4 linked regions of the Saccharomyces cerevisiae S288C genome follow. The protein of the gene in region 3 purifies or fractionates together with the protein of the main gene of each other region. This does not show direct contact. Each region holds a gene or a part of one and is shown on either strand. Other genes may lie near its edges. The genes, in order: EIS1, LSP1, SEG1 and PIL1.

What was found.
Region 1: the proteins of SEG1 (region 3) and EIS1 purify together in Saccharomyces cerevisiae (affinity purification with mass spectrometry; 3 studies listed by BioGRID). This does not show direct contact.
Region 2: the proteins of SEG1 (region 3) and LSP1 purify together in Saccharomyces cerevisiae (affinity purification with mass spectrometry, with the first as the bait; 4 studies listed by BioGRID). This does not show direct contact.
Region 4: the proteins of SEG1 (region 3) and PIL1 purify together in Saccharomyces cerevisiae (affinity purification with mass spectrometry; 6 studies listed by BioGRID). This does not show direct contact.

The regions. Positions count from the first base shown.
Region 1 is NC_001145.3:328,342-336,631, forward strand, and holds EIS1 (Eis1p), read right to left. Parts: upstream 6,403-8,290; coding exon 3,871-6,402; downstream 1-3,870. Other genes in the region: TAP42 (Tap42p), read left to right, coding at 1-241; FAR8 (Far8p), read right to left, coding at 319-1,890; RSF1 (Rsf1p), read left to right, coding at 2,452-3,582; formin-binding protein HOF1, read left to right, coding at 6,957-8,290. UniProt on the Saccharomyces cerevisiae protein: Required for normal formation of eisosomes, large cytoplasmic protein assemblies that localize to specialized domains on plasma membrane and mark the site of endocytosis.
Region 2 is NC_001148.4:546,778-553,557, forward strand, and holds LSP1 (lipid-binding protein LSP1), read right to left. Parts: upstream 4,881-6,780; coding exon 3,855-4,880; downstream 1-3,854. Other genes in the region: NCR1 (sphingolipid transporter), read left to right, coding at 1-1,366; AEP3 (Aep3p), read left to right, coding at 1,709-3,529; ULA1 (Ula1p), read left to right, coding at 5,243-6,631. UniProt on the Saccharomyces cerevisiae protein: Together with PIL1, main component of eisosomes, structures at the cell periphery underneath the plasma membrane that mark the site of endocytosis.
Region 3 is NC_001145.3:436,374-445,008, reverse strand, and holds SEG1 (Seg1p), read right to left. Parts: upstream 5,802-8,635; coding exon 2,919-5,801; downstream 1-2,918. Other genes in the region: VBA1 (Vba1p), read left to right, coding at 1-1,595; PDL32 (putative ADP-ribose 1''-phosphate phosphatase), read right to left, coding at 1,628-2,482; YMR085W (uncharacterized protein), read right to left, coding at 6,220-7,518; YMR084W (putative glutamine--fructose-6-phosphate transaminase), read right to left, coding at 7,593-8,381.
Region 4 is NC_001139.9:649,098-655,840, forward strand, and holds PIL1 (lipid-binding protein PIL1), read right to left. Parts: upstream 1,521-6,743; coding exon 501-1,520; downstream 1-500. Other genes in the region: PDC6 (indolepyruvate decarboxylase 6), read right to left, coding at 2,193-3,884; CTT1 (catalase T), read left to right, coding at 5,537-6,743. UniProt on the Saccharomyces cerevisiae protein: Negative regulator of cell wall integrity (CWI) in unstressed cells, probably by inhibiting protein kinase PKH1/PHK2 activity and regulating their downstream CWI pathways PKC1-MAP kinase pathway and protein kinase YPK1 pathway.

The sequences.
Region 1 (8,290 bases), 110 kb from region 3:
GCAACAACTGCAACAAAAAGTGCGAGGATATGGTCAATATGGACCAACAATGTCGGTGGAGGAATTTTTAGATAAAGAGTTTGAAGAAGGTCGCGTTCTTCAAGGTGGCGAAGAACCAGAGCAAGCACCAGATGAAGAAAACATGGACTGGCAAGATAGAGAAACCTATAAAGCTCGTGAGTGGGACGAGTTCAAGGAAAGTCATGCTAAGGGAAGCGGAAATACCATGAATAGAGGATAGAAAAAAATACCTATATACGTACACATAAGTATCTATTAGACAGATTCATATATTATTTTTTTTTCTGCCTACATCAGTTATATTTTAATCTTGTGCAAAAGGACTTCGTTATTTTTATTCACGGTGATTAACACCGGCGTAGAATCTACAATCAGATTTGAAGAAAATACCACAGGCTCTTTTCTTTCCGAGAAGTTGATGTCTGCTACGACAAATTCGTCGATGGATGGTTTTAGGTTTTCTAAATTCCTAAACTCAAAGTCTCCATTACTATATGATACGGTGATTATGCTGTCGTTCAAATCGAGTTGTATTGGTAGTGTTGACGATGGAGTCAATTGTTCCTTCAGTACAACTTTTTTCTTATCAAAAGAATAAACCAATAATCTCTCATTGCTTAGCTGAATCAGTAGCTTAGAAGTTTTTCTATCCAAAAATAAATGGTAACCTTCTTCTTCTGGCTTACCCGATAATATTGTATCAATCTTCAAATCAATTTTTTGTAGAAGCTTACCCTCGAAATCATATATGGTAAGCTGGTATGGATTTGAAGACAGTAATATTAAGGATTTTTCTGTTATACCCAATATACAATCCAGAATGTTTGTGGAATCATTACTATCATCGTCATCATTATCATGTGTTATTTCATATGTTTCTTTTATGTTAATTGGGACATCCTCAGGAGCCTCTATATTGTCCAATTCCCAGATTCTAATTTGAGATTTATTCTTACTAGCTATCAACAACCATTTATTTTTGAAGTCTATATTAATGATATCACTAGACGAAAACGGCTGTTCTGAGTCTTGTAATAGGTCCACATCTGAGATCAAAGATGCGCTAGAAATAGAGAACAATTTCAAATGGAAACTCTTTTCAATAACAAGGAGTTTGGACGTCGAAACCCAGAAAAATTTCATAATGTCGCTATCTTGCCCTAAAGATATTTTCTTTAAGAGTTTGGAATTCAAGTTTGCGTCCACTTGGTGTATTTCTAACGATTTGGTGTCTGCATCATAAAGTGCCATACAGTCCCCGTAGGAGCTGATAATGTCGACTTTCGACAATTCCGAGTGTATCTTGGATATTGTTTCATTATTTTCACGCTTGTTGGCTGTGCTAAACAAAGATTTCACTTTGGTTGGTGATGGTGACTCTGAAGGACCTTGCTTTGGATTGGGTTTGGTGTCCAAGAGGGCATTATTTAAAATATCCATCCCATTTGTCTTCGCACTGCCCTCTTCCTTGGGAGTATTCACGTTCAGTTTCTCTAAATCGTGCAATTCAGAACCCGCTTCTCTGCTATTTAATGACTCTAACTGATTGACCGTGTTAGGGCCTTTCAACAAATAAATTATTTCCTTCACATTTTCTTGAACAGCTAGCTTAGACTGCAGTAATGAATCAGGCACATGTTTTTCTTCCTTTTCACCTTCAGGAGAAACAGCTTTCGATTGTATTTGATTCAATTGATGCTTCAAATCTCTATTTTCGCCCTCTAGTTCTGCAATTCTTGCTTTCATTTCCGACCTTTCTAGCTCCCAGGTGATTCTATCTCTTTCATTCTTCGTGAACTCCGTTTGCAAGTAGTGCATTACACCAGGTAACGTGTAATGCGGATGAACATGTGCCTGGTTAATAGCCATATTGTTTTCCGGTCTAACTACACGCACTTACTTCTTTTGGGTTTCTTTATTAATGTTGTTGCTTGCTCCTCACATTTAGTCGTTCTAGGTGGCTTTTATCTAAGATTACGCGACGGGGAAGATCGCAAAGTTAAGACCAATAGAGTACTATACCATATCCCAACAAAGAAGCCTAGGGGATGGTGCAGCAGTAAAAACTGAATAGACTATAATAGATCATCCTACGTAAAACCCGAATAGGTTATCTCTTAAACCTTGTTTTCCTGTAAAGTTGTCCCGCGCATGTGAAGACGCAGAGAGTGGAGATCAATCTTAAAACAACTGAAGCAACTAGCACTTTCTTGACATTTAATAAGGAACTATTATCGCGTAAACCAAAAGAAACGCATGTAAAACATCTGCAAGTTACTCCATCATCTGACACCTAGAGACGTACGTATCAGAACGATTTGAGTGGAGGGGTACAAAAAGGGACTCTGTAGATCAAAAACTGTAATATTATCCTTTTTTTTACTTTCTGAGAAGCTATTCGAAAACAAGGAGATAGAACTACAAGCAGTTATGAAGGACCTAAATCCAGAAATGGGGAAATTTGCTACCACTAAAGGCCCTCCTCAAGACAATAGAGGCATGGTTGATATAGCGACACTGCCTAATTTTCCTGCCAACCGTAGTGGGACTCCTCGTGAGGAGATGTATCTGGCGCCCAACAAGATGGAAACTCCAAGGATACTTAATATGAATATGGTACCGGATTATTTGCAAAAAGAGAACTTCTCGCCAGATTTTTCTTCTGCTACCGTATCTGCCAAGTCATCTCCTGTCAACGTTACTCATGATGAGTCGCTTCCTCTGGGAACTATTGAATCGAATAGCACAAAGGATTCTAAATATGCAGTTCAACGGCAACAGCAACAAGTGGTAGATTTCATAGAGAATAATATGCAGCTACTGTCTTCAGAAACACTAAATTTTAGATCAGACATTATGAAAACTTTGGAGCTTCCCATTCCCAAGAGAAGAGATATTAAGGGAAACCATCTATCTAAACTATTATTTGCTAAATCACCTCTAACTATCAACACATATTGCCAATTTTATGACCGTAGAACCAAGCGAATTTGCAATCAAGAAATGATATGGAAAGATAAGAACAGTAGAGAGAAGCATGGTTCTAGAAAGTATCAAAGACATTTGAGTAAAGTTCACGATGTCCAGCTAACACCAAATAATTTTACCGAATTTTTTGATCATAATTCTCCACTTTTCCAGGAATGCTATGACTATCAATCTAGATTGATGCGTGATTTACTTGTTGAACCAGATGCCAAATTCAAAGAGAAGAAAAAGAAGAAAAAAGGGGACGTCAACGGAAATCATCCTGAAACCGGATCGAGCCTCATCAACCACCAGGTCCAACAGCAAAATGTTCGAGAACTTCAATCGAAAATAGCCATGAACGACTTGATAGAGATTCTTATCGATTTAAACATTCCGTTTTCTGTTTTAGACTACCAACCAATGAGAAATTGGCTCATCAAATATTCAATAATTTCAACAGATACTTTGCCGGATGAAGTATACTTCAAAACTGATCCAGGCGTGAATGAACTGGAACACAACAGTAGTAATTTAAACAATAGCAATAGCGGTACTCCTCATAATCATAATCAAAACCAACATACCAATTAATTAAAACTTGCTTTTAATCTGCATACATAAAACTTAGATCAAATAAATAAAAAAAAAAGTAAAACAACCATATATACTATTTCATAAGCAAAAGTAATCAAATTAAACAAAAAAAAGAAAATACAAATATTAAATTTAAATTAAGGCAATAAACATATATTATACACATAAAAAGAATAATTAAAGCGCAGATGAGAACTATCTTAATTATCAAAATTCTGTAGTATCCCACTCAACTGTTCAATATCTTAGCCGCACCATTTCTTCGTTATCTAGGCTCACTAGCAATTATTTTTTCTCTTGATTACTAATTGCATCCTGATCGTCTTCGATCGAAGAACCCTGTGAAAAGCCACTAAATGTATGTTCCAAACTATCAGGGCTAACTCCCAATGATTTATTGTTTCCTGCTTTCTGTGAAACCGAGATTTCTTTTGAATGCTCCGCTGATTTACAATCATTAGCGTCTTCTTTTCCACTTGATTTATTTCCGATCGAAATTTTTTCTTCAGGTTCCTTTGTTTGAACAGCAGAACTAGTTTCGGTAGCTTCTTTTGCGGCAGTACTCACCGGAACCCCATCACCACCTGAATTTTTCGTTTCGGCTCCCACTATCTCTTCCTTCTTTAGTTCATCACCTTCCTCTATTTTTTCAAGTTGGGTTGGTAAATCTTCAACATTTTTCTCGACGGATTTGTTTTGTGTTAAATACTCCTCAGAAGTCATACCAATCAATTTTTTAACCTTCTCTTCGTCAATCTTATCATCGCCACGTGCAGAAGCAACATCTTTCATAGCTTCCAACAAATTTAGTTTTTCCTTCTTTAACTCGATTTCGGTCGCGTTCAACTCGCTCTTACGTTCGTTAATCAACGAATCCACTTCCAATTGCTTCAGACGGGCCTCCTTGGTTGATAACTCAGCCTGCTCTTTAGCCTTATTAGCAAGAATAATAACGTCATCATTCAAATGGGATTCCAAGCTTTCTTTAGTTTGACCTAGTTCCAGTAATTTGTCATCCTCTCTGATATTTCTATTCTTCTGGGCGTCAAGATCATTTCCGTAACCAGAGATCTTTCTTTTATGGTCAACTATAGCATCCTGCAATCTTGAGATTTCTGCGTTAATTTCATCGCGCTCTTCCACTAAAGTTTTGTGTTCCGCTTCTGCATTTGCCAGATCGTCATGGTAAGGTTTCAATAGTTCTTCTTGCTCTTTGCGCGCTTCAGTGATATCTTGTTCACATTTCTTACCCCATTCCTCCAAATCTTGATCTAGACGAGCTTTTTCGTCCTTTAACTCTTGCTGCATTTGCTTTTTAAATTCGATCTCTTTGCTCTTGGTATCTTCAAGCAGAGTTTCCCTTTCAGCGACTTTGGTATCCATTCTGGCCACAAGTGCATCAAAGCTGGCTTTAATCTTTTCCTGGGAGGTCTTTTTTTCGGTTTGATGCCTATTAGCCGTAGTAGTCAATACTTTGGCGTCATTAGAAATGATAGAACGTTCCATCGTTTCCCATTCATTTGATGATTTATTATAGGCCTCAGTTCTTTCTGCAATTTCTTCATCCATAGCACGTTGCGCCTCCGCCCTCTCACTCACTTCACCAAGTACAGGAGAAATCAATCCGGATGCGATTTTAGTGATATCTTCTGGTGACAAAAACAGGCCACCACCCATGTTAATCTTGTTATGGAATTCTGTCTTTTTCTGATGATTAGACTGTGCGACAGCGACAGCAGCTTTGTTGTATTCCATATTAGTGAATAGCTTTCTATGCATATCGCTTTTTTCAATGATATCCAATTGTCTGTCAACATTGGCTCTTGCCAAAGTCAAAACTTGCTGAGAAGTTAATTGGCTCAGATAGGTTTCCCTCTTCTGCGCCTTAAGAGCTATACTTTTGTCGATATCCTCACCAGGATGCATGTCTTTCACAGCATTAGCAGCTCCTAATGCAAATTTCATCGACTTGGCTTCTTTCTCAGCAGAAACTTTTTTGACCTTTTGTAAATCTTGTGCTTTTGGAGCATCAACTTTCGCCATAATGTTATTCATCATCTCATTGGAGAAACTGAATTGATTTAAATTACCATGCTCATCAGTCTTGACGCCGTATTGGAAGTTCGTCTTTTCCGGTTCCCATCTTTCCTTAATACGAGATTCTGCCTTTTTTTCAGCACCCACTAAGACTTTCTCCAAATTCAAAGTCTTTGGTTTAGGATTAACAGTACTGTTGAAACTGCCACTCGCGCCGCTTAACACAGAGCTGGCAGAGGTGATAGAATATGACCTGCTGTTTGTTTGAGAGCTTAAACTTGTAGTTTCCATTGTCATCGAATAAGCTTTCGATGCGGCGGCCCCTGGAGATTCTTTGGACTTTCTCTTCGTCTGAGATTCTTTTGAAGTTTTAGAAGTAGCAGAAGTTATTGAGTTGTTACGTACAACTTTGGGTCCCATTTTGGATGCAGCTTTAGTGGCATTAGGGTCAATAAACATACGTTTGTAAGCTTCTACCGTGGTTTGATTGTCATGAGCTAAATTAGCTGCCTTGTCGGAAGCTGCATGAGCGTCGCTGACGCCAATTGAGTAACTTTGGGCAGGTGACTGGTAAACCCCGTACTTCAACTTCGCCTTATATAAAGCCTCCCTGCTTAATGGTTCGCCTGTTGTCTGGTATACCTTTGGTTTTCTCAAAGATTTAGAGCCGTGTTTCAGCGACTTTTTCGACGAAGTTATAGACGAAGTCCTGCTCCCTCCACCAGAAGTCTTTCCTATATTATGTATGTCTCTATCTTCTACAGCTGAAATTAAAGACATTGGTTATTTTGCGTTGGTTCCCTATATGCAAAGCTATTTAACAACTAAAGACTGTGTAATCGTCAGAGTGCACTATTTTGCTTCTTTTCAAAGTAGCTGCCAAAGAGCTGAACCTTTAGGATCCACTGAATTAATAAACATTGGTGATATACTGCAAGCAACAAGGAGTTCTCCCCATCGAGTGGCAGTAGTTCTTCCCCCTCTCGAGGGTGCCCCTTTCGGTAGTTTGCGATTTTCTTCCAGAAGAGCACCGATTGCCCCATCCGGAAAGTACTATTTCCCTTTTGGGTAACAGCGGACCGAAGCGGAAGCGTTCGAGTAGCCGAGGTATATGATTTCCTCTTTGGGCAAGTTGTAAACAATAAATGGTAAAAAGTTATGAAATATATTCAATGGTAAAGGTCCATTTGATAAAGTACACATTCACTGTATGAGGGAAAGAGGAAAGCCAGCTAGAGCATTTTTTTGGAGCAGGCGAGCAAACAATATAAAATACAAAGGCCTCGTGTGAGACTTGGAAAGTGTACTACTAATATTCAGAAAAAGGTGAAAGAATGAGCTACAGTTATGAAGCTTGTTTTTGGGACCCAAACGACAATGGTGTGAACATCCTTCTGGGTCACATTTCTCAGGGAATAAGATCTTGCGACTCAATGATACTTTTCTTTAAGCAGCGTAGTGAGCTTGAGAAGGACTATGCCAGGCGGCTTGGAGCCATCACGGGAAAACTAGACAAAGACATTGGAACAAACATGGATTATGGAAAGTTGAATGAAACATTTAATGTGGTGCTCAGTGTTGAGAAAGCTCGAGCACAATCGCATTCCAAGCAAAGTGAGATTCTTTTCAGACAGATTTACACGGATACTAAGGCATTTGCCGCTAACTTGCAAGCAAGATATACTACATTGAGTGGAAAGATTGAAAGGTTGCGGATGGACAAGTTCAACAAGAAAAAGGGGTGTGAGGTGTTGCAAAAGAAATTACAGGATGCCCAGATTAGATTCAGAGACTTGCAATTGAACGAGAATAATATGATTGGGGCCAAGAGAGTAGAACACAACAAGAGAGAACTATTGAAATGGGAATCGAACTCTCAGGAATATAAGGTTCAACTAGACGTTCTTAAGCAAGAATATAAGGCATCGCAGAAATTCTGGATACACGAGTGGGCGCAATTATCCTGCGAACTGCAAGAAATGGAGAACGCTAGAATATCCTTTTTACAATCGAAATTACAACAGTTCGCAACCTCATCGATGGAAACATATATTTTAGAGCAAACAAAAATGGACATGTTAACAAATCATCTGAACTCATTCACGGCAGCGGATGAAATATCGACGTTTTCAAAAGAAAATGGAACTGGTAGACTGAAACATAAGACTTCCAAAGGTGACATGAATTCTAGCGCCAACTGGGCTCAAATGAGCAGTATCTCCACGACAAGTAAAAAAACCGAATCGTATATGGACAATATAAGGAAACTATCTTCTCAGCTGAAGGAAACCGAAAATAAAAGGAAACTAGCTTCAATAGACAAATATGAGAAACCATTGCCATCTCCAGAAGTCACCATGGCTACACAATTTAGAAATTCCACACCCGTCATACGTAATGAGACAAAAGTGGTTGCTAACCCAACATTATCTTTGAGGTCTTCACCCGTCCAGTTACAGAGCAATGTGGATGACTCCGTGTTAAGGCAGAAACCTGATAAACCAAGGCCGATTGTTGGGGAAGAACAACTTAAACCTGATGAAGATTCGAAAAATCCTGATGAAAAAGGTCTAATGGTGCATAAAAGAAATCAATCTCTCAGCTCACCATCAGAATCAAGTTCTTCTAATCCAACGGATTTTAGCCACATCAAAAAGAGACAAAGTAT
Region 2 (6,780 bases), on a different chromosome or scaffold from region 3:
TCTCTACGAAAAGAGATCCAATTATAAACAAATTACCGGAAATGAAGAAACTAAGGAATCATTTTTGAAAACGTTTTATTTTAAGATGTTAACGCAAAAGAGGCTCATAATCATTATCTTCTCGGCTTGGTTTTTCACATCTCTGGTTTTCTTACCAGAAATTCAATTTGGGCTAGATCAAACATTGGCTGTTCCACAGGATTCCTACCTGGTTGACTATTTTAAGGATGTTTATAGCTTCCTAAACGTAGGACCACCGGTTTACATGGTCGTGAAGAATTTAGATTTGACTAAAAGACAAAACCAACAGAAAATATGTGGTAAATTTACAACTTGCGAAAGAGACTCATTAGCTAATGTACTGGAGCAAGAAAGACACAGGTCAACAATTACGGAGCCATTGGCTAATTGGCTGGACGATTATTTCATGTTTTTAAATCCTCAAAACGACCAGTGTTGTAGATTAAAGAAGGGAACAGATGAGGTTTGTCCTCCCTCTTTTCCAAGTAGACGTTGTGAAACTTGTTTCCAGCAGGGTTCTTGGAATTACAACATGTCAGGGTTTCCTGAGGGCAAGGACTTCATGGAATACCTAAGCATATGGATTAATGCGCCTAGTGACCCCTGCCCTCTAGGTGGTCGTGCGCCATATTCGACTGCGTTAGTTTATAATGAAACGAGTGTGTCTGCGTCAGTTTTCAGAACAGCTCATCATCCTTTGAGATCCCAAAAGGACTTTATCCAGGCGTATAGTGATGGAGTTAGGATATCAAGTTCTTTCCCCGAACTAGATATGTTTGCATACTCGCCGTTTTACATTTTTTTTGTTCAATATCAAACTTTGGGACCATTGACGTTGAAGCTAATAGGGAGTGCCATTATCCTAATTTTTTTCATTTCATCTGTTTTCTTGCAGAATATACGCAGCTCATTCTTACTGGCTTTGGTCGTTACCATGATTATCGTAGATATTGGTGCTTTGATGGCCCTACTAGGTATCTCACTCAACGCTGTCAGTTTAGTCAATTTAATTATTTGTGTCGGTTTGGGTGTCGAGTTTTGTGTTCATATTGTTAGATCATTTACAGTGGTCCCCAGTGAAACCAAGAAAGACGCAAACTCAAGAGTTCTCTATTCCTTGAATACCATAGGTGAGTCCGTCATCAAAGGTATAACTCTAACCAAATTCATTGGAGTTTGTGTACTTGCATTCGCCCAATCGAAAATATTTGATGTATTTTACTTTAGAATGTGGTTTACACTAATCATTGTAGCAGCATTGCATGCTCTCCTATTTTTACCTGCTTTACTTTCATTGTTTGGTGGTGAAAGCTATAGGGACGATTCCATCGAAGCAGAAGATTAGCCATAGCAGATTATACTATATTTTACGTAGTGAAAAAATAGGTAAAAATTCGTTAATTATTCTGATGCCACACCAGAAAATCTGTGGGAAAATTTTTCGAGTCAGAAATGATAACACTAACACAGGCTTCGTTGTTATCGTGCATTGAAGTTAGATACTTCTACTATATTTAATCTTTAATAGTGTCATAAAAGTATTATTGGTTTCGGGCGAAAATCGTCATTTTCGCACACAGAACTTCAAAAGAGGAAAGGCCAAAAGAACTAAAACCGATTACTTCGGGGTGATTTTGTTCTGGCATCTTCTGGCACTCTTGGGCATCCTTAGCCATTTAGTATATTTATGAATACATTAAGGTGTTTGACACAAGCACTATCCAAAAGTGGGAGAGAAGCTCCAAAACTATATCAGAAAGTAATATTTCCAGGCCTGTTCAGAGAGGGTATACCAATTGCAAATGTCAAGAAAGTTGATGAAAAAATAATAGATAGCCCAACATCAACGTCAGTTAATGGAGAGGCAAAAAAAATAGTACGGCATGGTGTGAAGTATGAAAGGGAGCAAGTTAAGGAATACCTTTCAAGCCTGCCGACTTTAACGCTTTCTAGGAAACAAATTAGGGATGACTATGATGAGGAACGTGCAAAACGAATGTATATGTTCTCTAAACAAACGAATTCCTCGAATAAATTCCAGAAACTTCTTACAGCAAAGTCTCAAGAGTTTACTAGAGAACTATTGACGCTACTGATAGATTGCACATCGAATGAGAAGAATTCAGGGCCAGAACGCTTCACTCGTAAGTTTCTTAAGTTTAGTAATGACGAGATCCCTCCTCTCCCTGACTTTTCAAAGAACCCTCAATTGTTTGAAAATTATATTGGAATACTAAGTCATACAAAGTTCAATTTTCGTTCATCTTCCAAACTAAATGGTATTGTGCGTAAGATGCTGCGGCACCTACTTCATCCAACCAATAAGACGACTCTGCCGTTGCGTTCTGCTCAAGTTTATAATGACTCAATATACTTTTTCAGTGAGCACTTCGACTTTGCGTCTTGTAGAGAAATATTTGCACAAATGAAGGCTGAGGGGACTAAACCAAATACAATCACTTTTAATCTTTTACTGCGTAATGTAGTGAAAAACTCGCATATTAGAAAAACGAAGCACCCTGACGATGAGGTCCTTTTTTATCTTAGAAGTATGCGTAATCATGGAGTTTTTGCAGATGTAATAACTTGGACGACATGTTATAACTTTCTTCGTGATGAAGTTTCGAGACAATTGTACATTGTTCAAATGGGTGAACATTTAGGAAATTTTAACGTAAATTTTGTTTATACTGTGCTAAGGAACGGAGATTATAGAGCAGAGGACTGTTTAAAAGTTTTAGCAGCAAATTCACTACCGATTTCCCGTAAGACGTTCTATCTGTGCATAGAACGACTACTAAACGAGGAACAACTTGAAACCGCATCTAAATTACTTGACTATGGTTTTCAGCACTTGAAAAGTAATTTTAAGTTGGACTCGGAGGCAATGAATCATTTCATGCGGGTATTTGCTAATAAGGGAAGAAGTGATTTGGCATTCCTTTGCTATAATACTTGTCGTAAGATTTACAAAATTAAACCTGATTCTCAGACGTTCGAAATGTTATTTAAAGCGTTAGTTAGGAATGGCAACACCAAGAATTTTGGGGCAGTCCTACAGTATATCAAAGACTTAAAGGTTAGTGAAGGATTTGGATTGCGGACAAGTTATTGGAGAACCAAAGCAGACTCAATTTTCAAATTTGGTAGTCCTAATACGCTATCAGAAAAGTCAATTGAAAAAGCAAGAAAATTGTTGGGCAACCTGATTGCTTCCGAGGGTGAGTTCTCTTGGAAAATTTGGAAAGAAAGTGATTCTTCACAAAAAAAAATACTACGTTTTTTGGGTTGTATCCCCACTACTTTACGCTGCACCAATACAGCACAAGATCATCAGAAGCCCACAAACCTACCCTCAAACATTTCCCAGAAAAAAAGAGAATATCGAAATCGGGTTAAAGCAATAGCCACAAAGGCTGCTTTGGAAAAAAGAATGGCGTATATCAAAGACAATGATGTAGCTTTCAAAAAAGAGCTAGTAAAGAGGAGAATAGTTGGGGAGGTTTGATGAGGGAGGCATAAGTGCCCTGGCATTTGGACAGGAATTTTATTAATATAGGCATTTTTATTGTACATATATACTTCATAGATCATATTCATTTAATTAGACTTCGAAAAGTTGAATCTCTTACGGCAAAGGAGAACAAGAGAAAGGTTAATTATTAGGTCTTATAAAATTTGTTCAATTAATTATAAAGGTGATTACAATACCGGAATATTGGCCGAACAATACTTGAACCAAATTCAGATGAAATTAATAATAGGTAGACACGAGCTGGTGAAAAACAAGCACAATATAGAAAGGTTCGAATATATTAATTATTAGAAAAAACTCAGATGTTTTCAGAACCGGAGGTATGACCGTTTTGACTAACATGATGATCGGCCTCATGGGCTTCATCATCTACAGGAACTTCAGTAGTCCATTCAACTTCCTCTTCTTCGACTACTTGACCGGGGATATCTCCATTTTGGATTTCAGGTTCTTCTTCTTCTTCACCATCTTCGTCTTCATAGACGTCATCAACGGTCTGATGAAATGAAAGAGTTGGTTTGACTGCAGCCATGTCTAGGGTCCAAGATTCCAAGGCCGATTCAGCATCCATAATAATTTGGCGAGAAGCTTCATAGCCATCGTACGCTGGTCTAGCTTCACCTGGAGTGACAGGAGAGTCATCTAGCAGCTCCAATAAGGCCTTTCCGTATCCAGCAATCAGGGCAAATTTTTCAGAAAGCTCTCTTAATGAATCAAACATATAACTATAAGCAGCCTTTAATTTTTCACGTGTGATATTCGATAATTGAGCCTCCGCAACCAAAGATTCAGCTTCGGCACGAACTAGTTCTTGCTCTAAAACTGGGATTTTTGTTGATTGAGGATCTTTATATTTCAAATGGGCAATTTCATCTGTGATCTTTTCCTTACGATCTCTCGAAGGTTGAACAGAGGCTTCAATGTTCCTAATTGATTTTAATGTGACTCTGTATTGATCATATTTATCGATGAACTGGTCCTGTAGTTCACCCAACTCATATATTAAGACGCCTAATTTGTCGGTTACGTCGGAAACATCATCATCATTGTCAGCACCCCATAGAGACAGTTGCTTTGCAGCTTCACGGCGTTCGCTGGCAACAACTTCCATAGCTCTAAGGACACCTTTTTCAGTCTTAACCAATTGAGATAATTTACGAGCCAACTCTGGCCCAAAGTTACCAGCCGCATTTTTTCTAAAACTAGACGCAATAGAGGCCTTTCCGAAGAACTTGGACTTCGTTGAGGATGGTGGTGGTGGAGGAGCTTGTAGCTCAGCAGCCGTTGGAGCTCTTTGATTTCTTAAAGAGTAAGTTCTGTGCATTCTTGTGTTGGAGCTTTGAAAGTTTAATCTTTCGTATACCAAATAAAGAGAATTTACGGTCAAGCATTGGAATTGAGGAAAGAGGTTAACTGATTTTTTTCTTTTCTATCTCACCTGTTTATATATTGCGATTTAGCCGTTGCATCTTCCCGGTTTTTCCGTCTTTTTTTTAAAGGGCCCCTTTTTATCCCCTCTAACGCCTTTCGCAATCCCCTTTTCACTCGGCTGCAACGAGCGGGGTTGTAAGAGCTAAGCTTTCTAGCCTAGCAATGAAATAGAAGGACAAGTCAGACGATTGACGTCAAAAAAATGAGTCGCCTCTCTTTCTTTCTTAGGCCAACTAGACAGCCGTAGATGAAAATATGGAAAGATATGATAGACAGCTGAGACTATGGGGAGCATTGGGCCAAGATAGTTTGAACCGGTCCCGTGTGTGCGTGGTAGGACCTGCTACACCTTTGCTGCAGGAAGTTTTTAAGAATCTGGTGCTTGCCGGAATATCATCTCTTACTTGGCTCAAAGTAGAGTGTGCAGTTCAATCGGGTTCTCTGTTTTTAGCAGAGCTTAAAAAAGATCTTGAGCCATTGGCTTCTAAACAGCTAGAATATGAGGAAAATGACCTTAGAAAGACGTTACAGCAACCTCAGTATGATTGGACCCGCTTCTCGGTGGTGATCTTGACTTGTATTGGTGAGCAAACTGCGATGCTCGATTTAAATGAGATTAGGCGGCAGAGAGGAACAAAGTTTCCGCCTGTTCTAAACACTTTCGTCTCTGGATTTTATGGATATATATATCTGGTACTCTCAGAAACACATTTTGTTTTGCAAGCACACCCAGATAGTAAGAAGTATGATTTACGGTTACAGAACCCTTGGCCTGAACTAATAAATTACGTAGATACATTTGACCTAAGTAAAATGGATACAGCCACGTTTTCTGGTATTCCATATACTGTTTTGCTCATGAAGTGTATTGCAAAACTTGAAAGGGATGGTAATAATGGGAGGATAACGATTGATCAGATGAAGAAAGTTTTAGACCAAATTTGCCTTCCTTTAGGGAATGATGTTATCTACGAACCCAATTATGTGGAAGCTAAACGCTATGCTTACTTGGCCTGCTCTCAAAATGATTGTTGTAAAGAACTGGAAGATCTGCTCCGAAATTTGGAAATATCAGATTATGGGAACGATTGGCATGATACTTATAACTACGAGATTCTCACACTATTATTGACTTTGAAAAATATTGCTAAAGAGAATGGGGAGCTCAGCTTTCAACCTTTAACGGGCACTCTCCCAGATATGGAGTCAACAACGGAAAATTATATCAGACTCAAGAAACTGTATGAAGTAAAAGCAAAGCTTGACAAGTCTCGTGTGGAGGAAAGTTTGGCTCGCAGTAAAAAAATAGTTTCACAGGATGTCTTGGAGACATTTTGTTCTCATTACGGGGAGGTCAGGAAAATATTGCCGCCAAAAAGTGACTTGTTAGGTATTTTTAGCACCTCGAATGCCCTTTTAGATGCATTAGTTATGGTCCAATTCTGGGAGCAACCGGCAGTAACTGCAGAGGATAAAGATGAGTTTATTGGTTTACGAGTCGACGATAACTATTCCGTAATGGCCTTTTTTGGAGGTGCAGTGGTTCAAGAGGCTATAAAGCTTATCACACACCATTACGTTCCTATTGATAACCTATTTTTATATAATGGCATTAATAATTCATCCGCAACATATAAAATATAAAATTTTTTCGTCAGCTCTCCGAGTTCATAGAATGCTTATTTTATTGTACTTCCCTGGTTTGCGTTGATGCAAATAAAGACTAAATGTAAACTTTTATGATGCATATGATATCGAATGTTTACAACAACGAGAGATCACCGGTAAGAACT
Region 3 (8,635 bases):
CCTTACCTAAGTTTCCCATTTTGTTTTCGCTATGGTTGGGTAGTTTTTTGAGTTCCTTGGATAGCACTATTGTCGCAAATATAATGAATAGAGTTGCTGAGGAATTCTCTGAATCAAGTAAAAAGCAATGGATTGCGACGAGTTTTCTTTTGACAAATACGGCTTTCCAACCACTATATGGGAAGCTTTCTGATATAACAGGGCGGAAGTCAGCATTATTAACCGCTCAATTTTTTTTTGGCCTTGGGTGCTTATTAACATGTTTTGCCAGAAACGTCACGGAATTCTCAATAGCAAGAGCCATATGTGGTATTGGTGCAGGAGGATTGAATGCTATTAGTAGCATTGCTGTTAGTGACATATGTACAGCAAGAGAAAGGGGCGTTTACCAGGGATATGCGAATATTGTTTTCGGGTTTGGTCAATTACTAGGTGCTCCGTTGGGTGGTGTATTTATAGAAACCATTGGATGGAGGGCTCTTTTTGGTATCCAAGTACCCGTGATAATGTTGTGCTCGGTATTAGCAATCAAAAACATTAATATTAAGCTATTCCATGTTCCTCCTATGAAAGAAAGATATACCTTAAAGAATCTGTCACGGATAGATATATTTGGCTCATTAAGCCTGGTGGCGACCATTAGTGGAGTTTTATTTTTGTGCTCTAGCCAGTTGAACAAGTTGTATTTAGCATTGTTTACCATTGGTAGCTTTATTGTTTTTATCCTGGTTGAACGTTATTACGCGACTGAGAAAATTTTACCATTCGAACTATTGACTCGCTCATTCTGTTTGAGCTCAGCGGTAACGGTTATATCTTCATTTGTTGTATTTGGTGAAATCTTTAGGTCACCAATCTATTTACAATTGCTTCAAAATATTAGTGTAACAAAGACTGGCCTCTTTTTGATTTTCCCCTCTATATCAGTTGCAGTCGGATCATTGGTAACAGGATGGGTATTGCGGAATACGAAAATTAACCTAGCACACTGTGCATATCAAATCATTTTTGGTGGTATGATAATGCAGCTATTGGGTTTGGGATTGGGCTATTTCCTACTTTCACACTTGAATCCTGACTACACCATATATGATATGCTTGAGTCTATTACATTCAGATCTAACTCAATATGGTGGAAATTGATATATGTGTTTGCATCAGTCCTTGTGTCCTTTGGTTACGCTTGTCTATTAGTGGCCACGTTAGTAAGCATCGTATTCACCGTCGAAAAATCACAGCAAGGAACCATGACTGGTGTTTTCTATTTGTGGAGATCCATTGGTAACGTTCTTGGTGCCTCTTTAACTTTAGTGTCCTATGAGAATAGCCTGTCGTCCATGTTATGGAATTATATGTTCAAAACCAAGCGTGATGACGAATATCACTTCACCAAAAAGCAGTACTACTCCCTTATCAATGATTCGAGTTACTTGAGAGGGCCCAATTTTCCAACGGATATATTTGTTCGCATTCTTGATGTCTACAAAAAGGCATTCCTGATTTCCTATATTCCAAATATAGCCCTGGCAGCAGTGGGAATTGTTTTATCGTTATATCTGGTGAAACATACTTACAAACGTAGTTCAAGTTCTTGAAAAATTGAAAATAGACTTTATATTATATACCTTTATAAATCCAAGGTCAAAATCCTTCTAGGAATGAGCAATTCTATTGCATCTTTTTCTACATTAAAGGATTTCAGCATTTCGATATCTATTCCTAGTTTTTGGCACTCTATTTTGCAACTTTCCGGGAAAAAAGGTTCAAACGGATATTGCAAATAATACATGATCAGCACATTTTTCAATTCTTTGCTTATGTGATCTCCCGCCATATATAGTCTTAACGCAAAGGCCATACTCTTGCAACTGATAATGGGTGGTACACCTGCATACCCAGTACATAATCCAGGAATAATAAGACCATCAATGTCTTTTGGAGAATGCATCAAGGCATTCCACATGGCGTTGAAAACCGGTTCAAACCCTGTCTTGAGGGGATTCTGCGGATTAAATATAGGAGCTGATGGGGCTACAACGGTCGGAACATGAATAATATACCTAATACCATCTCTACATTCAATTGTTTTCTCTTCAAGACATCGCTGTAGGTCAACCACTGTAGCAGATCCGACCGTGTGATATCTTCCTCCAAGCTGATTCCTGAACCATGTTTCAAAGGGCTTTCCCCCGAAATAATTATACAAAGCTTTATCGAACCCTCCTCCAAGATAGCCATACGAGTTACCAGGTGAAACAATTGCGTAAGAGTGGCCATGATGGATTGCATCACCTTTACGCATTGAATCCATAAGAGATTGAAGGTGCCCATGATGAATACAAAGATACTTATCATTTTGAATATATGCATGGGGTATAGATTCCTGCCAGAGATTGGTAACTACTTCGTTTGTATCGCATAATATTATTCTCATTTTTTTTACCCCGTTCAAAAGTGAGTGTCTGTTTAAAGATCCTGTCATGATTATGAATGTCTGCAGTTTTCCCAATTTTCCCAGTTCAAAATTACGAAGATGGCTTGGTGGTTTAAGATGTATTATGGACCATTATACATAGGGGATTCAATTCGTAAAGTTTAACCGTTAATAAGAAACACCCACACCTGAAGTTTTTACGAAAATCAAATGCTTCTCTTCTGTTATTGTTTGCTGCTAGGAACACGTATAGGAACACGAATAGGAACACGAATATTTATTGTTCATCCGATTATATCGCCATTGATTGCAGTGGAAACGGCAAAAAAAAAAAAGCATATAAAATGGAGATTTCTTGATTATTCATTATTAAAAAATCCTTTATATGTTACAGTGCATGGAAGCCATCGTTCAGAAGTTGAACGAGCACGAAAAAGAATAAAATACATAACTTGTACAAGGAGAGAATTTCTGCCGAGAGTCCCTATTTCTTTCTACCAAAGATTTTTTTCAGTTTTTTGCCGAAACTACCCTTCTTTTCTTTTGTAACGCTGACTTCCTGTGCTTGTGGGAGCCTGCTTTCGCCGTTCTCTGGATTACTAGAGAAGCGTAACCTATTGGTCATCGAAGGGTTTGAATTTTTTGCAGGTTCAGCTTCACTGGCAGCTCTTAAAGATAACCCGCTGAATTTCTTGTCCACCTTTTTACTTGTAATGGCAGGATCGGTGGTAGTATGATTAGGACTTGAGACTCCAGGGGAAACCACATTATTTTCCTTTTGCTTACTTTTGCTCTTGAAAAGCGAAAAAGCACCGTTACCACCATTACTATTTTTGTTACCGCTGGTTTTATTGCCTTCTGTTTCTGTGTTGTATTTTGATGGGCCTTGGTTGAAAAATTGGGACTCATCTTCTGAGTCTGAATCCGCAAATCTTGATGAATGACCCAAATATTTGAAAAACTCCTGTGCTGTATCGGTTCGATTCACATTTGTGCTATTCTGGCTAGCTTGCCCATTATAGCTTTCACTCAATGCCTCCTCAAAATTACCATTTCTCAAAGAAAGCTTTTTAAATCCGAGATGGGATTCATTGCTTCTCGTCTTCTCAAAACTAGATTTGCGAGGAGGTGGTTCTTTGGGGTACAAAATACTATTCATGTCCTTCGTTGAAGGTTTATTGTTTTGCGCGATCTGTGATCCTCTCTTTATATTCTTATTGATTTGGTTTTTAGGTTTATTTGGGCCATTTGACTCATATACACTTGCGGGCTCTTGAATTTGCTGCGAATTTTTAGACAGAGAAGCCATAACCGAATTTCTTTTTGGTTTACCCTTCTCTGGGGTTCCTAGGGGTATAGCAGAATGGCGTTTATTGTTTATTTTCTCTGGGGGAGAAGGCGAATTTGATCTGATGCTTCTGAACTGGCCTACTGACTGAGGTCTTTTTATAGAAGATCGTTTTAAACTTGCTCTGCGTGATACGCTGTCGGACATCGTCATTTGAGCATTTAATCTCGTATTTTCAGCAGTCGTAAGAGACAGGTATGCGCCATTGGCGGGAGAGTTATCAGAGTACATGGATGAGTCATGGTTGGACGATCCTGACGATTTTTTAAGAGCAGATTTGATTGGTGTAACTACTTTCGTTACAGGAACCATAGGAGCTTCAGGCTTGTGAAACTTTTCTTGCTCAGCTTGTTTCGATTGGTTTTTTCGAGAAAGGTAGGTATTTGAGGTCCTTAAATACTGAGCCAAAGAAGGCGTTGGTTCTGTTTGATTAGAATGATCGGTGTTCTTGGAGGAATTCGACTTGCTCGTTTTCTGATCGCTTTCTTCTACTGTATCGAAGAATTCATCCTTAGTATCGCCAACATTCCCTTTTTTGGAAGAAGTATTAGCACCAGAAATTTTCTCACAACAATTGTCTGGCTTTTCAACTTTTTTTGAACTCTCGGTCCCTTCCAAGGTATCCTTCTCTTCTATTGAGCGGGATTTTTCATCAAGGTCTTGTGTGGGAGACGATGTTGTGTCATTCTCTAGATTTTTATTGCCATTTTCTGGTTTGGAGTTTTCAACTGATCCTTGGGCCGAATAACTGCCGCTAGAAGAAATGTTGTTCAGTTGTTCAACCGACTTGTCATCCACTTCGGCCTCCGGAAGAGGATGTTCTGCTACTGGTTTATTCCCCTCCCTCTTCTCTTCGTTGTCGTAATTAAAAGTTTTCTCAAGAGTAGATGCTTGACGGTTATTTTTTGGCCATTGTACATCGCCTTTTACAGTTTTTTCGCTTATGAAAACATCTTCTTGATCAGAATTTAAAGGTTTTTCCTTCCCTTTTTCTTCAATAAAACTTTCTAACTCAATGTTTTCATGTATTAGTTTGCTTAGATCATCTTTTTCAATGTTTAGTGAAGAAGGTTTTTCTAGATTATTTTCGCTATTGACTACTGTTTCGGATTCGGAAGAGTTAGAATTATCAAGTTTCAACTCTTGGTCTGTTTCTTCACGAACTTGTGTTTCAATGAGAGGAACATTTGAATTTATTGGATGTTTCTTGGCAAGATTTCTCTCCTGAACCGCCTTTTGGCCTTTTTTTGCTTGTGTACTTGATGTATTCCCTAAAGACGAAGTCTTCTTTGGTTGAGAATGTAAAGATTCCTGCGATACTTTTTTTCTTAAAAGTGAACCATTTCTTGCATTCAAGGCACTGTGGGCAGAGTTGGAACGCCTTAGCAATTTAGAAGTATTGGCATTGCTTGGTTTTTCAACGGGGACCTCAATTGCAACCAGCCCGTTGGGCCCAGGAATATACTTTCGCGTAGTCCTCAAAGGAATAGACCCGCTAGGATTTTCAGTACGGTGTTGTCCCGTTAAAATTCCTCTGGCCTGTGGTCCGCCAAAATCCTTGAACGTACGTTGAGCCTCATCATAGCTTATTCTTTGGTGTGTTTTGGACTTTTGACGTTGTAAACCAGAACTGTTTCTGCTTTGCTGACCTCTCTGGTTAGGGAGACTCGAAGTTCTATTGTGAGACCTAGTTTTGTGCTGCGGTTCCTTCGTTAAAGGAGAATTTAATGAATCTCCCTTCCCCATTGATGACCGTTGGGTAAGGCTGTTTATTTTCCCGGGACGACCTTTACCATCGCTCCTTCTAGATTCCGATGATATACTAGAAATAGAAGACATTCTTTTGGGGGCAGAAGGTTTTCTTAAGTTTGTCATCGAAGCGGATCGATAGGTCGGCCTTTGTTCGTTATCAGATTGATTACCCTTCTTCATTAATAATTTACCGATACTTGCTGCAGCTGCCACTGCTGTCGGGTCCGCCTGTTCCATTTCTGGTGCAGTTGTTCTTCTTCTAAACATTTTTAGGAACGAACGGCTGGTGATTTGTGGAATTGGTTGGTATGGCTACGTGTTGCTGTTGTGTTTTATATGTTTTTATCCAATTTGTCGGTAAAGTAAGGGAGCACTGAAAATTTAGCGAAGAAATGAATACTTCCTTTAAGGTTATCTATCGTCCTTTTTTGCATGTTGACCCTCGCGCCACACGGCCAGCCCGCTGCCGCAGTGAGCTAAAATTGGGCCTGCTTAGCGGCGACGCGACGGGATTTTGCGGATTTACTGTTGACGTTAAAAGATGTGGCAGTGACACCAATTGCAAGAGATTACCTTGACCAATAATTAAGTTATTTGGCTATAGAGTGTGAACATCTATTCTACATACTGCCCAAAATATAAGTACTTGTTTTAATGAAATTAGAAGGAATTAAAGAACACTTTTTTATATATCCGGGGCCGACATCGCCGAGTCCCTTGGCAAATCAACTCCGATGTCTTTCTTGATCGCTAACCAGTAAGAAATTAATTGTAAAGGAATAACGTTAAGTATCCCTTGGAGACAATCTACGGTTTGGGGTACCTCGAGTGTAACAACGTTTCCTTTTTGTTTGTCTTGCTCCCATATCTTATGCCCCTTGTTACAAATGATAATCGGATTGCCCTTCCTTTCTATTATTTGGTCAATGCAAGACGCGATTTTGGGCGAAAAAGCATCCTTTGTCGCAAAGGCGATAATTGGCGGATTATCAGATGCCACAGCTAGGACTCTGTGTCCTAGCTCGTTGGTAAGAATACTTTCAGAATGCACGTAAGAAATTTCTTTCATCTTCGAGGCGCCTTCCAAAGCAGAGGCAAATTGGTAACCTCTTCCTAAAAGCAAAAATGTATCATGCTGTTTTAGTTTCTTGTCACACAATTCAATAATCAATGGTTCAAGCTCCAAAACTTCTTTTATTTGGCTTGGGACTATAGTTAAGGCTTGAATTATTTCTTTCCTCCTTTCTATTTTAGACACCAAATCTTCCGACATCCATAGGGCAATCATGACTAAAGCGATGTATTGAGAAGTATAAGACTTGGTTGTTGCAATACCTTTCTCGGGGCCTGTGTTTGTATGAACACCGCAATGTGTAAATCTTGAGATAGAGGAACCGCTGCAATTAACTACCCCGATTGTGACTGCCTCTTTTTTGATACAGTAGTTCAAAGCATTAATTGTATCAGTTGTCTCCCCACTTCGAGAAACAAATATGCAAACATCGTTCCTGAAAATGCAACAATTGCGGTCAACAAAATCCAAGGCCAATTCAACGTTTACTGGAACTTCCATTAACTCCTCAAAGATGGGACGGGCAGCTAGGCATGAATGGAAGGAGGCCTTGGATGCAATCATTATTATTCGTTTTGCTCTTCTCAATTCTGTCAACCAATTTTCTAGTCCTCCCAAAACTACTCTGTTTGTAAAGGCGTCAACTCTTCCTCTCATGACATTTTTTGTTGTTTCACACTGCTCGTATATTTCCTTTTGCATAAAATTATCGTAAGGGCCTTTTTTGATTTTGGACAACTCCAATTCTAATTTTTGAACTGTTCTAAATGAAAAGTCCTCGGAACCAATTTTAGAACAATGGATATGAAGCTCCCCATCATAGATATGGGCAATATCATTATCCTCCAAATATACTACTTTACTCACATACCGCGCTAGTGATGCACAATCGGATGACAAATAGAATTCCATGGGTCGCGGCAAGCCGTTCTCGGCTGGCGTTTCTGTGGATGAGCCATGATTGAATGTAGAAGTTGTAGAGTTTCTCAGGTATTGTGAACGAAGGGGGGTGACTTCCTTAAACAAGTGTTATATTTTACAGGTGCGGCAGCCAAGACATTACCAGAACTCTTGGTTTGAGTATTAAGCTTCAAGTAGTCTTCTTCTTGATCCAAATATTCCACCTCGACAAAGTTTACGTCCATGTCAGTTTTACCTTTAACACCAATAACTAACGGGGAACCCTTTCTTGCGGCAACCACTTCATCGGGAAAATGAGAAGAAGTGCATAGCAGACCATAAGAGCCTTCCAATTCTTTAAGTACTAAATTTGTTAATACATGGAAATCGAGGTTGTACCCGAGTTCAATGCTTGTATCATAAATGTGTTTGTACAGTTTAGGAATACATTCGGTATCAGTGTCACTTTTGAACACATAGCCCTTTGCCATCAATAAGGCTTTCAAATTAGCGAAGTTGGTAATAACCCCGTTGTGTACCACAACAAATTCATTAGATGGATCTGAGTTATGTGGATGACAATTTGCACGTCTTAGCCCTCCATGTGTTGCCCGCCTAGTATGGGCAATGCCACAATGCGAAATAAAGGGCAGGTTCTTATTAAGATTGTAAAGGTCGATTTCTTCCTTCAAACTGCTTATTTTACCGGTTTGCTTATAAATATTGAGAGACTCCAGCTCATCACCTTGGATCGAAATTCCACTGGAGTCATATTCCTTGTACTCCAATGCCTGTAACCCTTCGATTAAAGTGTCGATGATTTCTCCTCTTGTCTTCTCAATTAAAAAATTGCAATAGCCAAAAATGCCACACATTCTTCTTCTTATATTGGGTTTTTAATCTAGTTTATTGGATCATCTTTTGAAAGTCTTTTTTACAAATTCCTTTTGTTTTATAATTTAATTATAAATGTTCAAAGACGTTTCTGAATTGTAAATATAATTCAGGGGACGGCATCAGTTTGATTCCATACACTACGTGCTAGTCTAGCCCAGCATGACTAAAACGAAAAGGGGCGCCTTTAAAAATGAGGAAGAAATCCAAATCCTAATGACCTTCAAGCGCATTT
Region 4 (6,743 bases), on a different chromosome or scaffold from region 3:
GAAGGCGGTGAAAACAAAAAGAATATTAAAAAAAGTAATGTATGGGTTCTCGTTGTACGGATGTTTAAAATGTCCTGAAAAATACCAATTAGACGGTTCTGTGCTTGTTATATATAGATGTCTATACGACTCAACATATGTATGTTGCTGCATTTTAGAAAAAAATTAGGCATTAAACATTAGGCTACACAGGAAATAATGTTTCCTATCAAAAGAGTTCTAACTTGAATTGTTCCTTCACAATTAAAAAAAATAAAAGAGTACATATTTAGGAGGGGGAAGAGATATTGATAATAGACTAAAGTAAGGAGTGAGGAGAGGGCAAAATACAATAATAGATGAAAAAAAAAATAGGAAAATAAAACAATTTTTTCAGAGTGAGGGAACAGAAATGATTATCTGTCCACGCATTAATTAAAAGAGATTAATTAGTATGGTAACTTGTTCTTTTCTGCTGGTTTTTTTTTTTTTGTTTCTAATAGATTGTTGATTTATTTTGATTAAGCTGTTGTTTGTTGGGGAAGAGACTCACTTTGCTGGTGTCCGACTTGTTCATGTTCTTCAACAGCACCTTCTTCTTCTTGTTCAGGTTCTTCAATTTGTCCATCTTCTTGTTCGTCTTCGGACCACCTGCCTTGACCGTCTTCCTCTTCCTCTTCTTCGCCTTCTTCAGGTTCGAAGTCTTCGTAATCCTGCTTGAAACTTAAAGTAGGCTTGACTTGGGCAGAGTCTAGTGTCCATTCATTCAGTGCGCTTTCAGCATCAATAATGATTTGTTTAGAGGCTTCATACCCATCGTAAGCAGGCCTGGTTTCACCTGGAGTGACAGGAGAGTCGTCCAATAGTTCCAAGAGAGCCTTACCGTAACCAGCGATTAAAGCAATTTTCTCTGAATGTTCGATGATGGAGTCAAATTGGTAGTTGAAAGCAGCTCTCAACTTTGACCTTGTGATATTAGATAATTGAGCTTCAGCGACCAAAGATTCAGCCTCAGCACGCACCAATTCTTGTTCCAAGACCTCAATCTTAGGTGATTGAGGATCTTTGTATTTCAAGTAGGCGATTTTGTCGGTGATCTTGTCCTTACGGTCTCTAGATGGTTGAACAGAACCTTCGATATCTCTGATGGACTTTAGAGTCAATCTGTATTGGTCATAACGATCGATAAATTGGTCGTCTAATTCACTAACTTCATAGATCAAGACACCTAATTTATCAGTGATGTCGGAAACATCGTCATCGTTTTCCAACCCCCAAATAGACAATTGCTTAGCAGCGTCACGTCTTTCGTTGGCTGTCAATTCCATGGACCTCAAAACATTCTTTTCAATCTTAACCAATTGAGACAACTTTCTGGATAATTCTGGGCCAAAAGCTCCAGCAGCACTTCTCCTAAAGCTGTAAGCTAGACCACCCTTCCCAAAGAATCTACCTTTGGTTGTAGATGGTGGTGGCGGTGGGTTCTGTAATTGAGAGGCGGTAGGTGCCCTGGAATTTCTTAAAGAGTAAGTTCTGTGCATACTATATACTTGATGCTGATATATTCTTCACTTTGCAATACTGCTAACAATGGAAAAGTATAGGTAAATAAATGTGCAGATGCAGATGTGAGACAAATTTTCTTTCTTGGGTTGGGATAATCAACGCATTGTACCCAAACGACGGGAAACAAGGAAGGATGCAGAATGAGCACTTGTTATTTATAAAAAGACACGGGAGGGGGAATCCCGTCTTTCGTCCGTCGGAGCCAAAGAGATGAGCCAAAGCAGAAAAACAGGGGACGCCGCCCTTCTTCCGTCCCGTGCGTGAGGGGGGCGCGGCCATTCGGTTTTTGCAATATGACCTGTGGGCCAAAAATCGAAAAAAAAAAAAATAAGAGGCGGCTGCGGAATTTTATAAGACAAGCGCAGGGCCAAAGAAAAAATAATAATTGACGTGGCTGAACAACAGTCTCTCCCCACCCCTTTCCAAAAAGGGGAATGAAATACGAGTTCTTTTTCCCAATTGGTAAATATTCAACAAGAGACGCGCAGTACGTAACATGCGAATTGCGTAATTCACGGCGATAACGTAGTATTTAGATTTAGTATAATTTGAACCGATGTATTTATTTGTCTGATTGATTTATGTATTCAAACTGTGTAAGTTTATTTATTTGCAACAATAATTCGTTTGAGTACACTACTAATGGCTTATTGTTTGGCATTTGTAGCGGCAGTCAATTGCGCTTGTTTGATCAAACTTTCCGGAGCATCAAAGACGGGCAGTTTCAGTTCAATTAGTCTGATCACCGAGTTTTTCTGGAACTCTGAATCAGTGGTTAAGGCATCCCACTCACCCGTAGTGGCGATCTTGTGATTTTCGTACTTTTTCGCACCAAATGCGGGCAACAGGGCGAGGTGATCCCAGGTCTGGATTTCGTTGTACTCTGCGTGAGGCCCATGAATCAGCTTTTCGATAGTGTAGCCGTCGTTGTTAAGGACAAAAAGATACGGCTTTAACCCCCATCTGATCATGGTGGAGATTTCTTGGACGGTTAACTGCAAAGACCCGTCACCTATGAATAAGATGACTCTCTTGTTGGGGTCAATCTCCTCAGCGGCAAAGGCAGCACCTAAAGTTGCTCCTGTTGTAAAACCGATGGACCCCCACAACACCTGCGAGATACCGTAGGCGTCCTTAGGAAAGATAGTTTGATTGATACCGAAGGCAGACGTGCCGGTCTCGGAAATGATAACATCACCTTCTTGCAAGAATTTGGACAATTCGTTCCACAACCACTCTTGTTTCAAGGGCGTGCTAGCAGGTACACCTTTGTTTGCGGGAGTTTTGGTTGGTACGGGAACGCTCTTGTAGCCCTTAACAACATCGGGAATAACCTTCAGTAAGTTTTGTAGTGCAAATTTCATTTGTACACCGAGGAACGTAGCGTTCTTCACCTTTACGTAATCGGAATGAAACTCCACTACATTTTTAGTCTTGTAGGAGTAGGAAAACGAACCTGTGTTAAAATCAGAGAGCAAAGCACCGACCGAAAGGATCAAATCAGCCGACTCAACGGCCTGTTTCACGTCTTGTTTGGACAGCGTTCCCACATAAACACCGCCATATCTGGGATGCTGTTCATCTATTGACCCTTTACCTAGAGGTGTCACAAAAGCTGGGAATTGCGTCAAATCAATTAACTTCTGGGTTTCTTTTTTAACGTTGTGCCTAGAAGCACAGGCATCCGATAGTATAACAGGGTTTTTCGAATTCTGGATCAATTCTAGTACGGTATCAATAACTTCCTTTTCAGCTTCGGGATCGTTAGGTTTTAATGATAGATCAATCGGTTTTTCCAAAAGAGAACCAGGAACCTTTAGATCTACCAAATTCGCTGGCAACCCCAAGTAGCTAGGCCTTTGTGTTATAAATGTTGTCCTGATCAACCTATCGATTTCTGAAGGGGCTGTAGCAATGTCTGTAATCATTGATGTAGTTTCTGAGATATTGGCGGACATTCTGTGAAAAACGGTAAAATCACCGTTACCCAAGGTATGATGCAACAACAATTGCTTAGCCTGAGCGGAGATAGAGGGGACACCAACAACATGCAGTACACCGACGTGTTCTGCATACGATCCTGCAATACCATTCAAGGCGGATAATTCACCTACGCCAAAAGTAGTTACCAGCACAGATAAACCCTTGATGCGTGCGTAACCATCGGCGGCATAGGCGGCGTTCAGCTCATTTGCATTACCAGCCCATCTCAATCCATCTACCTCGTAAATCTTGTCCAATAGGGACAAGTTGAAGTCGCCTGGTAGCCCAAAAATGGTGTTAACATTAACTTGCTTCAATCTTTCAAATAAGTATTTTCCAAGAGTAATTTCAGACATTTTGTTGGCAATATGTTTTTGCTATATTACGTGGGTTTTTTATTTATACTGTATATAAAAGAGGACTGCAATAGCACAAGATTAAGATAGAATGGCTTCAAACAGCCGCCTTTTATACATATTGGTAAAAGCTCGCGAATCGCACCATATCCCTTATCCTGTAATCAAATCGATCTAGGTGCAGATACAGATCAATTCATAAAAAGAAATTGAAGCACCAGTTTATCACTACTACACTATCTTTTTCTTTTTTTTTTTTTTTTGCGAAGTTTCGCCCTTTGTTCAATATCACTTGATAAGTTGTGGGCTTTTTCTGTCACTCATTCGGCTTAAAAAGTATTCGTTCTTTTGTGTTTTATGAAAAGGGAACGTGATATAAAAAAACATCCTTTGGTGTGGGACATGGGCTTTTGTTTAGAGAATGGTTATCACTACCGCCCCCACCCTTGAAAGCCACAGAAAATGAAAAAGTATGTGAATAAGGTGTGAACTCTATAACATTTTGGCCAAATGCCACAGCCGATCTGCATATTCCAATGGACATAATGCAACAACAATTGATGTCACATTCTCTTACACACTTCGATTGGTCCGTACGTAGTACTTTTTACATAACTGACTCAGGCGTTTCCTTCATTGAAATGCTCATCTATTGCCAAGTACATAGAATCCACAGTGCATAGGTTTATGAGATGCTTGGAAGATGTACGATCGCCTGCACTATATTAGTATATTTTTTCAGGCTTTACAAAACCAGAAAGAAATTACCGACTGTAATACTTAATTTCCATGATTTTAATCGTATGGTCCGTGAGGAAAGAGGAATTTTAGGTAAAAAAAAACCTTTGTCTATCAAAACATAAAAGAAAAGAAAAAAATTAAATTGAATAAGTCAGCTTTTTAGCATGACCACAGTAATAATAGTAATACGATATCAGCATGAGCTGCTAAACATTAAGAATTTTTGAATTGTGTTCGCTGGTAAGAGAAAATAGGGTAGCATTAGTTGCGAGATGGAAAATTAAAATATGCGTCATAAGGTATTTTCGACGTTGAAGATTAGGGGTTGCAAGTCCGAGAACTAAACTGCCTTCACGACGTCAAACTTATTGTATGGTGACAATAAAACGAATTCAAGAAGCCAGAGATGATGAGGAACCGATGACGAGGCACATGGGGATAGAACCTCCGTTATCTCCATTCCGCGTTGAGCAGCTCTCCTGCGTGCTTTCACAGAGACCCTAAGCCAAGACCGCGGACGGCCCTCTTTTTCAAGGGGATCACCGGTAAGGGGCCAAGCGGTGAAATTGCGTATTGTTTCCTCCTATCAATGATGAGTACGTCGCCGATCCAGAAGGGTTATTATTGTCATTGCCAGTACTATTCGTATGCTGAAAAAGTATAGTTCACTTCACCCTCTGGCTGCAGGCTAGCCTAGCCGATAATGCCCCCGACTCCCTCAACAGGTAGAATTTGTAAGGATTCGACGTAGCCTGGACACATTGTGCATTTATCGTATCCCCTACTGCTACACGTATAAGAAGTCGTTGCTTTACCTCTATTCCAGAACTCAATCTTGTCGTTACTTGCCCTTATTAAAAAAATCCTTCTCTTGTCTCATGCCAATAAGATCAATCAGCTCAGCTTCACAAATGAACGTGTTCGGTAAAAAAGAAGAAAAGCAAGAAAAAGTTTACTCTCTACAAAACGGTTTTCCGTACTCTCATCACCCATACGCTTCTCAATACTCAAGACCAGACGGCCCTATCTTACTGCAAGACTTCCATCTGCTGGAAAATATTGCAAGTTTCGATAGAGAAAGAGTTCCGGAGCGTGTAGTCCATGCCAAAGGTGGTGGTTGTAGACTGGAGTTCGAACTAACAGATTCTTTGAGTGATATTACATACGCCGCTCCATACCAGAATGTGGGTTACAAATGTCCTGGTCTTGTTCGTTTTTCCACCGTTGGTGGTGAAAGTGGTACACCAGACACTGCAAGAGACCCAAGAGGTGTTTCTTTTAAATTCTATACCGAGTGGGGGAACCATGACTGGGTCTTCAACAATACTCCCGTCTTCTTCCTCAGAGACGCTATTAAGTTTCCCGTATTTATTCATTCGCAAAAGAGAGACCCTCAGTCTCATCTGAATCAGTTTCAGGACACTACCATATACTGGGATTATCTAACATTGAATCCGGAATCAATCCATCAAATAACTTACATGTTTGGTGATAGAGGTACTCCTGCTTCGTGGGCTAGTATGAACGCGTACTCTGGTCATTCCTTCATCATGGTCAACAAAGAAGGTAAGGACACATATGTGCAATTCCACGTCTTGTCGGATACTGGTTTTGAAACCTTGACTGGAGATAAGGCTGCTGAACTGTCAGGCTCCCACCCTGATTATAATCAGGCAAAGCTGTTCACTCAATTGCAAAATGGCGAAAAGCCAAAATTTAACTGTTATGTGCAAACAATGACACCCGAACAAGCAACTAAGTTCAGGTATTCGGTAAATGACCTAACGAAAATATGGCCACACAAGGAATTCCCTTTGAGAAAATTTGGTACCATCACCCTAACGGAGAATGTTGACAATTATTTCCAAGAAATTGAACAAGTTGCATTCAGTCCAACGAACACTTGTATCCCAGGTATTAAGCCTTCTAATGATTCCGTTCTACAAGCCAGACTTTTCTCCTATCCAGACACTCAACGTCATAGATTGGGAGCCAACTATCAGCAATTGCCCGTCAACAGACCAAGAAACTTGGGATGTCCATACTCCAAAGGTGATTCCCAATACACTGCCGAACAGTGTCCATTTAAAGCAGTGAACTTCCAAAGGGACGGCCCAA